Oryctolagus cuniculus: one gene and its partner. The protein of the gene in region 2 interacts with the protein of the main gene of each other region in a pairwise test. Links are inferred from orthologs where the notes say so. Each region holds a gene or a part of one and is shown on either strand. Other genes may lie near its edges.

Evidence for each region.
Region 1: the proteins of UBE2E2 (region 2) and RNF103 interact in a two-hybrid assay, tested with the Homo sapiens proteins (2 studies listed by BioGRID). The link is inferred for Oryctolagus cuniculus from reciprocal best matches to the Homo sapiens genes UBE2E2 and RNF103.

Annotation. Positions count from the first base shown.
Region 1 is NC_091433.1:116,144,566-116,148,377, reverse strand, and holds part of RNF103 (E3 ubiquitin-protein ligase RNF103), read right to left. Parts: intron 1,387-3,812; coding exon 1,271-1,386; intron 1-1,270. UniProt on the Homo sapiens protein: Acts as an E2-dependent E3 ubiquitin-protein ligase, probably involved in the ER-associated protein degradation pathway.
Region 2 is NC_091435.1:159,115,838-159,120,102, reverse strand, and holds the start of UBE2E2 (ubiquitin-conjugating enzyme E2 E2), read right to left. Parts: upstream 2,964-4,265; 5' UTR 2,825-2,963; intron 2,782-2,824; exon of another isoform or gene 2,612-2,781; intron 1-2,611.

The DNA of each region.
Region 1 (3,812 bases), on a different chromosome or scaffold from region 2:
CACCTGGCTCCTGCCATCGGATTAGCGCAGTGCGCTGGCCACAGCGCGCCAGCCGTGGCAGCCATTGGAGGGTGAACCAACGGCAAAAGGAAGACCTTTCTCTCTGTCTCTCTCTCTTACTATCCACTCTGCCTGTCAAAAAAAAAAAAAAAAAAAAGAAAGAAAGAAAGAAACTACCTAAAAACTACCTAATACTGTGCGGGAGGATTTTCTACATAGACATCAATCAATGATGTGCCTCCACTGCAGCACCAAACAAAACTTGATGTATACACTTATCTTTACTAAATATCCATCAAATTAATAATCAAATGAATGAATGACTACAAGTTATAACTTGGTGGCATCATAAGTAAAAATAGAACATTTTCAAAGAAGAAATAATGTAATATTGAACACAAAATAATGTGTCAGAATAAATACTGGCGATGACAACCCGAAATACGGAGCTTTTCAAGGATTCTTGCTTGAGTAGATGGAGAAAAAACAAAAAACAGTGAAGGAGAGAGAAAGGGAAATGGAACATGACTGATTAAAGAAAAAGAGGCTGGATCTGACTTTGGACATCAGGAAAAAGAATGCACATGGGACAGAGCAGACAGAAACACACATTAGAGGTTAGAATTACAGGAGATTTACATTAGCACAGAGATGTTAACTAAGCCGTGAATCTGCGGAGGTCATTCTGGAAAAGAAAACTGACATACTCTTAAAAAGATACCCCCAACTGGGACAGGTGTTAGGTGTAACAGTTAAAATGCCACCTGGGATGCCCGTATCCCATTCTAGAGTGCCTGGGTTCAAGTCCCAGCTCTGCTTCTGACTCCAGTTTCCTGCTAATGTGCACCTTGGGAGGCACTAGGTGATGGCTCAAGTAGTTGGGCCCCTGCCAACCATGTGGGAGATCCAAATTGAGTCCAGCCTCCTGGCTTGGGCCTGGCCCAGTCCCAGCTGTTCAAGCATTTCTATCTCTGTCTCTAGCCTTTCAAATACATTAGAAAAGAAAAACAAAAGGATATCTACCCCCAATAGGAAGAACACAAAAGAGGCGGGGGTGGGAGTAATAAAAAAAAAAAGGAGAAAAAGATCTGAGAGAGAAAATCAGTTAAGCACCAATTTATCAAAAAACTATTAGTCAAGCATCTGTGTAACTGGCAGTGTGATAAACATAATTAGCTTTCAGTTCAAGCAGGCTTCCATATCCTTGTCTTTATTAAACAAGAAAGATCTTAGTTGGGATTCAAAGTCTAAGAATTGCCTGACAACTCACCTGGGATCACTGGAACAATTAAAAGTGCCTGTCCGTATTCCAAATCTTGATACCTTTTTGACCATTTTCTCCCAGTGAATTCTACCCACCAAGGGACTTCTGTCGTTTGCTATGACCTATTCCCCAAAAAAAGAAAAAAATAAATAAACTTTAATGATCTAAAATGGAGTCAAGCTAACCTTTTGTATCTATGATATAATTTCATTTTTTGGGAAAAAGATACTTTGTTCCCAGTTCTTGGTTACTGTGTATCATATTATTACAGTAATTCTTATTGAAGGAGTTACTACCCAACTGGAAAAGACTTAAACTCCTACACTCTGTGGCCATTACCTAGAAGGGGAGTCAAAACCATATCAAAAAATTAGCCACATTCTCCACCCCATGGTTTTTTTTCTGGAATAAAGTTACACAAGAAGAAAATGGTCCTTGGAGTCATTTCTCTTTGCTCTTTAAAGAAAATCTTAAACAACAATTCAAATAAAACTTATTAAAAATTATCACAAATTGAGTTCAACAAGTTCAAATTTTACTTTTTTCAAAACATAATTATGGAATAAGAGTCAAACCTGTGCTTACCATTGAATTAAACTCTGAATAAACCGATACTACTTTTATGACTTTTTCTTAACAATCATGAAAAGCTCTCACATATAAAAAGAATTACCATAGTTAATTTTACATTCTTAAGCTTCTTCAAATTTGTAAATAGCTTTCAAATACAATTAGGATTGCAAGAAAAGATTTTTTTAAAAAAAGAAAAAAATTCTTAAATTAATTCAAAATATCTAATGACAATGACTTTTCTGATGAATGTCAGCCTTTCTAACCATTAATACTTTTTCCTTCTCATCCCCTAATCTTCCTGGCTTGAATGAAGGCAAAATTTCAGTAAAGATATTAGTAAAAAAAACAAATAAAGGGTGGGTATTTTGCTGCCATTGGAGTGCCTCGTTCAAATCCTAGCTTCTCTGCTTCTGATCCAGTTTCCTGCTAATGCACACCCTTGGGAGGCAGAAGATGGCTCAAGTACTTGGGTCCCTGGAGTTAGTTCTGGGTTCCTGGCTTAGGCCTGGCTCAGTCCTGACTGTTGAAGCCATTTGAGAGTGAACCAACAGATGGAAGAAGATCTCTATTTGTCTCTCTGTCTTTCAAATAAAATGAAAAATTAAAACTAAAATTTGAAAGCATAACCAAAGTTTTAAAAATTAAAAACAAAACCACAAAACCAAGTGGAACTTAAAAGGAAACCCAAAATGTCTCTTCTTGTCATGAAACCATCTGATTTACTTTAAGCCAGTGTATATGGTCCAAGTTTATTTTCATAAATGCCATTATTACCAATACTATTCACTTTAAAATCACAACACAATACTCTGGGACTTCCGATCTTCCTGGCAGGAAGTAACCATTTTCACGTTTAGAAAGCTCCAAGAAGCTCTAGGTGGATGTGTGAAATGAGTGCCAACAGTCAGCTCTCTGGGAAAGGCAACATGTGCTCCAGCGACCTCATCTAGGTTCCTTCTGTTGGGAGCCCTAACACATGTCAGAGAGCAAGAGGACTACACAGAGGGCCTGGCGACGGACAAATGTTTAAGGTTTCCTTTTTGTGCCAATACACCACTCTGTGTGAGTGTATCATTCTCATCACAAGACATACATGCAATCTAAGTACATATATTCTATGCAAGCTATATAAAATCATTAAAAGTTAAGGATGATTAATAAAAAACTGGTTTACTTTATGAGTAAATACAAAAGTTTTTCACCAATACAAAACACAGGATAAAGTGGCTTGCCATTTATTTCACCTCCGGAGTAGTGTTAAGTAAGGGATAAGTTAGAATATTCCTAAACAAAACTAATGTCTAGGAGCAAAGATAAACAAGTTTAAAATCAGCCATACAATCCTTTCAGCCAAGCAGGAAATATATATAATACTTAAGTGAAACACGGACTCCCAAGACTTTACTCTAAATCATATGACCCTCTTTACTGCTACCTCAGTTCCAGGGACTTTAAACTCCTTATCATATGACACAGCTGGGAAAAATATGTGCTTCCTTGAACTATGCCAGAAGTCAAAGCAGAGAAAATGAAATGTTAACAGGGGTAAGTCTATAAAACCCCTAAATTACGCTAACTTCTATTTCAGAACCCTATTCACTGTGCCACCTGCCTCTTGGAGCAAGTCTCTTGTGAAAAAATATCCGTCTTCAGTTGGTGACGCCAAGACTGAGTGATGGCAGAATCAAAGCATCCACAAAACTGGGAAATAAATAGCTAATGAAAAACAGGAGCTTAGGCTACAAACAACCGTTAGGAAAAGAAGACTTGGTTTTCATGGATTACACAGTGTATTGCTGGTACAGATGTTACATTTGTGTTATTACCTGGAAAACCAAAATTAGTTCTATTCATCTCACACTGCAGAGCATATAGGATAGACACTGCTTGACAATCAGAAGACGGTCAAATTGGCCTGAACAATCGGAAGAGGATTGGACTGGCCGGAACCTAAGCATCTTTAGCTTTGAAAACA
Region 2 (4,265 bases):
ATTTTACATATCTTTAACCAGAAGCAATCCATTACATGACAAATATATGGGAGCCTAAATGAAATAGGACTCTCTTACTTGAAGCTGAAGCTTCAGTTTAATAAACTCTGATTTAATAAGCTATGCCTAGAGTTTCAGCTGTGCATAGTAGTTATAAAGCTTCACATTCTTCTCAATGTTCCATTTATGTGCATGACACACTATCTATTAATGCTATGATTACAGACTTAAAGACTACTCAATGATCTAAAACTCAAATTTCATAAATTACTCCAGAATATCAGAAGACTAAAGTAAAAATTAGTCTAAGGAGAGAACTATTAAAAATGCTTACGTTTAAAATGCCCAAATAGAGCAAAATTATCTATAGTTTCACAATAAAGAAAAAATTATGTTACTACTTTTGACCTTATAAGATACTTTATTTCATCCAAATCTTAACCTACAAACGAAAACTTCATCTGAGACCACTGATAATCACCACAGACACTTTAGAAATGGTTTTCATATTTCTTTTTAAAATATAAAAAGGGGAATTTCAGCTGATTTTGTTTTTTGAATGACTAATTACAGGAAAAATATGGAAAAGGAAATATTGCACCACTCAGGTGCAACTGATTTTTATGAAGAAAAAGTAGTCTATAAATCATTTTAATTAGTTGTAAGTATAAAATTGGTGTCTTTTCTCTCTAGTGTACAAATGAATAAAAATGAATTAAAACTCTTTAACTATTATCTTCTAAATTAGCATTTTAAAATTATATTTAAAAGTAATCCCTAAATAGCTAATCTGACCCAATGATCTAATCTAGAGGAAAGACAGACACAAATCCCAGTGTTCCAAACAGAGCTGCTCTGTCAGAGACTGAGATCTGTGCATTACTCTTGTTAGTTCACATTCAAAACAAAAGCTGACTTATAAACAGACATTTTCAGGTAGGCAGACCCTCCTAAAGTATGTATTATATTTAAGAGTTTAAATACTGTTCTTCAACACACTGAATTTGTCTTAGTTATGTACTCTATGTCGCAATTAGTCCTGGGAATGAGCATCATACAGTGAATGAAACTCACATGCTCCATAAATGTTGAGTGATTTCGTTATAAATATTATTGATAACATAAGAGCAATGATAGATCACTCTGCAGACAAGCCTTGCAATAGTATCCCGTAGTATAAAACTAAAAAAGCAAGTGTTCGTGTCAGCTTTCCTACCAGGAAAACGTTCGATTCTGTCATCTGTATCATGCTGTCCTCTTATACATTTTTATAAACTTTTATAATATGTAAAATAACTTATGCTATATGAATATACACAACATCTGGCAATACCTAGCTTTTAACGTACCTGTAAAGATATTTATGCAAGAAATTGTGGAACACCCGATGGGGGGTGGGGTACTGTTGTCCTAGGGGAGATGGGATGGGGTACAACGTATGAAGACACTCCATTCTTAGCATTGAAGACACTCCATTCTTAGCATCAGCTCACATATGAAACTCCAAGAGCCAAGGGGAGCGTTCAAACTGTCTAAGACAAATATTTAGATTCCCAAGGTCCAGACAGAATCATCACACATTCAGAAACATACTGTTTCAAGAATCAAGGACGAAACACTCAAAGCTTAAAACCCTTTCTGAACAGTGAGATAAGCTGAGAATAGGTCCTAGCACTTCCTTTTGTGCTTTTAAATAAAAATATTTGAGTAGACGCTCGTGAATCTTGGAAACATGCAAATGGCTCTAACAGCCACGGAGCACAGGATGATGTCTTTCTAAAGCGGCCTTAATTTCCTTAAGGGAAGATGGATTGGACGTTTCTGGTTGGCCGTGGGGGGAAAAATAGCCACATTGAAGCCACGCTTTATCTTCATTAGAAATGGTAAAGGGCAAAAGGATCAAAATATTTAGAGAGGAAAAAAAAAAAAAAAAGAGGGGCGAATTTGGTGTTGGGGGGGGGGGGGGCGGGCAGAGGGAATCCAGTTTCAAACCAGGCCAGTGGGGGCTGCAGAGAAAAATGGGCTTCGGTTCCAAACTGTGACAAGCACCAGGCATCACAAAAGACCAACACCACACACACCCCACAGCAGGGCACACACAAATACACCTCCCAAGGTCTTCCTCTGGGCGGGCCACCGGGGTGCAAGGGCGGCGGAGCCAGACCTGGCACTCGCCAGGGGAGACACCATGTGCAGCAATTATGCAATTAGGGAAAACAGCGAAAGATCACGCCGGGCACTTTCCACCGTGACATTTACGCTGTACTTTTTGCAAAGACTTAGTTCCAGGATGCGGCTGGGAGCGGGTAGGGGCCGGCACGGTGGAGAAGGATGGGGAACTGAGAACGGAAGGGGGTAGACGACGGGCAGGGAGGGAAGAGGCACCAGGGGGGGAGGATGGGAAGGAGGGGGAGGGGTGGAAAGGGCGAGAATCGGGGGCAGGAGGCTCTCGGGAGGGGGCGCCGGGCACGGTGCACGCCGCGCGCAGGAGAGGAAGGGAGCCGGGGCTCGAGGGGTGCGGACGGAGACCTGCGGCGCGAGGGGGGCTGAGGCGGCCGGCAGGCGGGGAGGGCGCCCGAGGCAGGGGGCACCGGCGGGCCCGAGCGAGTACCTGAGGGAGGGGTGTCCGCGCAGGTCGCGGGCTCCACACGCAGCCGGGAGAGGGCAGGGCTGCGCGGCGCGACGGGGGAAGGGGCTGCGGAGGCCCGGGCCACGGAATGGTCCCCGCCGCCCGTCCGATCGCCGACAGCCGGACCCACGCACCCCGCACCCGACCGCCCGGCCACGCCTGTCCCCGCCGCGCTCGCGCCCGCCCCGGACTCACCCTCCGCGCCGCCGCCGCCGCCGCCGCCCGCAGCCGTTCCAGCTCCGGCTTCCGAGGCTGCTCCCCGCGGCCGCCGCCGCTGTGGCCGCCTGAGTCCTGGAAAGTGAAGCCACCACCTCCGGGAGCCGCCGCCGCCGCCAGCCGGCCGTCCGCGCGCGCGCCCGCGAGTGCGCGTGCCCGAGCGCCCGCCCGGGAGAGACCGCGAGAGCGCGAGCCCCACGTCGGCCGTGCGGCGCCGCGCGCCTCTCTCCTCCTCCCCCCCCAACACAACGCCGCCCCTCCTCCACCGGCGCGCGGCCGCGAGGGGGCGGGGGCGGGCGCGCGCACGGCCGGGCTGCCCCGCCGGGCCGGGCCGGGCCGGGCGAGGGGCGGAGAGGCGGCGCGCAAAAGTAAAGTGACAGGCGCGTCCCGCGCGCCGACTGGACCGCGGCCGGGGGTGGGCGAGGGGCAGCGCGTCGGGGAGCGATGGCAGGGCCAGGGGGAGGTGGGGGAAACCGAGGCTGCCGGTGCGGCCGCAGGGAGGGGACGCGGGGACCTTGACGAGCACGCGCTTTAAAGGGGAAGGCTGACTGGGGGGTGGGAGGGGCGGGGGTTGTCCGGAGACGGGGCCGGGAGGCCCCACTGCAGCCTTGACCTCACACTCACCTTAAAGCTTCCGCACAGACGCTTCCTGGTGCCATGGCAAACCCGACTCCTGGACGCGTGGTGTCCACGCGCACCCAGACGGGAAACTTGACGCTGGCCTGTGAAGTTCGTCCGGGCTGGGCCTGACCCTTCACCCGACACCGCGGCGCGAAGGTCATCCTGCCCTTTGGTTCTCTGACCCAGAACAGAACGCACACCGGCGGGTAGCTGGGGGCTCTTCACCCCCAACAACTGGGACAGAGCACACGGCGCCCGCTTTGCAAACGGCGCTCCCGTGAGATTTCCCACCCCTACCTGCAGCAGGTCTTCCCTGAACGCTCTCACTCGCCTCACCTCTGCTGGGTAGCGATCCCAGAGCTGGGAGTGTGCGGAAGCCCTGCCCGGTTAGCGCCCGAGAAGTGGGACAGACTGCAGGTAGCCTGAGCATCACCTGGCCAGCTACCTAATTAGGTGAGGAAACCCAACCCCCCACCCCCACCCCCCAGGCGCCTTGAGCCCTACACAGAGCAACGAACTGAGTCCAGAAGAAATCCGTGCAATAAGGCCCCGGAGGACCAGAGCTGTGCCTGTGTCTAGAACCGAACATTGCTTTTCTCAGATGTCTTCTTCAACCTTGACTTTCTTTCTAACATCCCTGAAATCTCACAAAAGCAAGTGCTGGCGTCTAGCCCGTGCAAATCACCACTGTGCAAAAATGGGTGCATTCCTGTGTACCGCTTGGACATGCCACTCAGGGGTGGCAACTGGCCCTCTTACTCTTAAACTCTGAAATGGACATCGGAGGACTGGACATTAG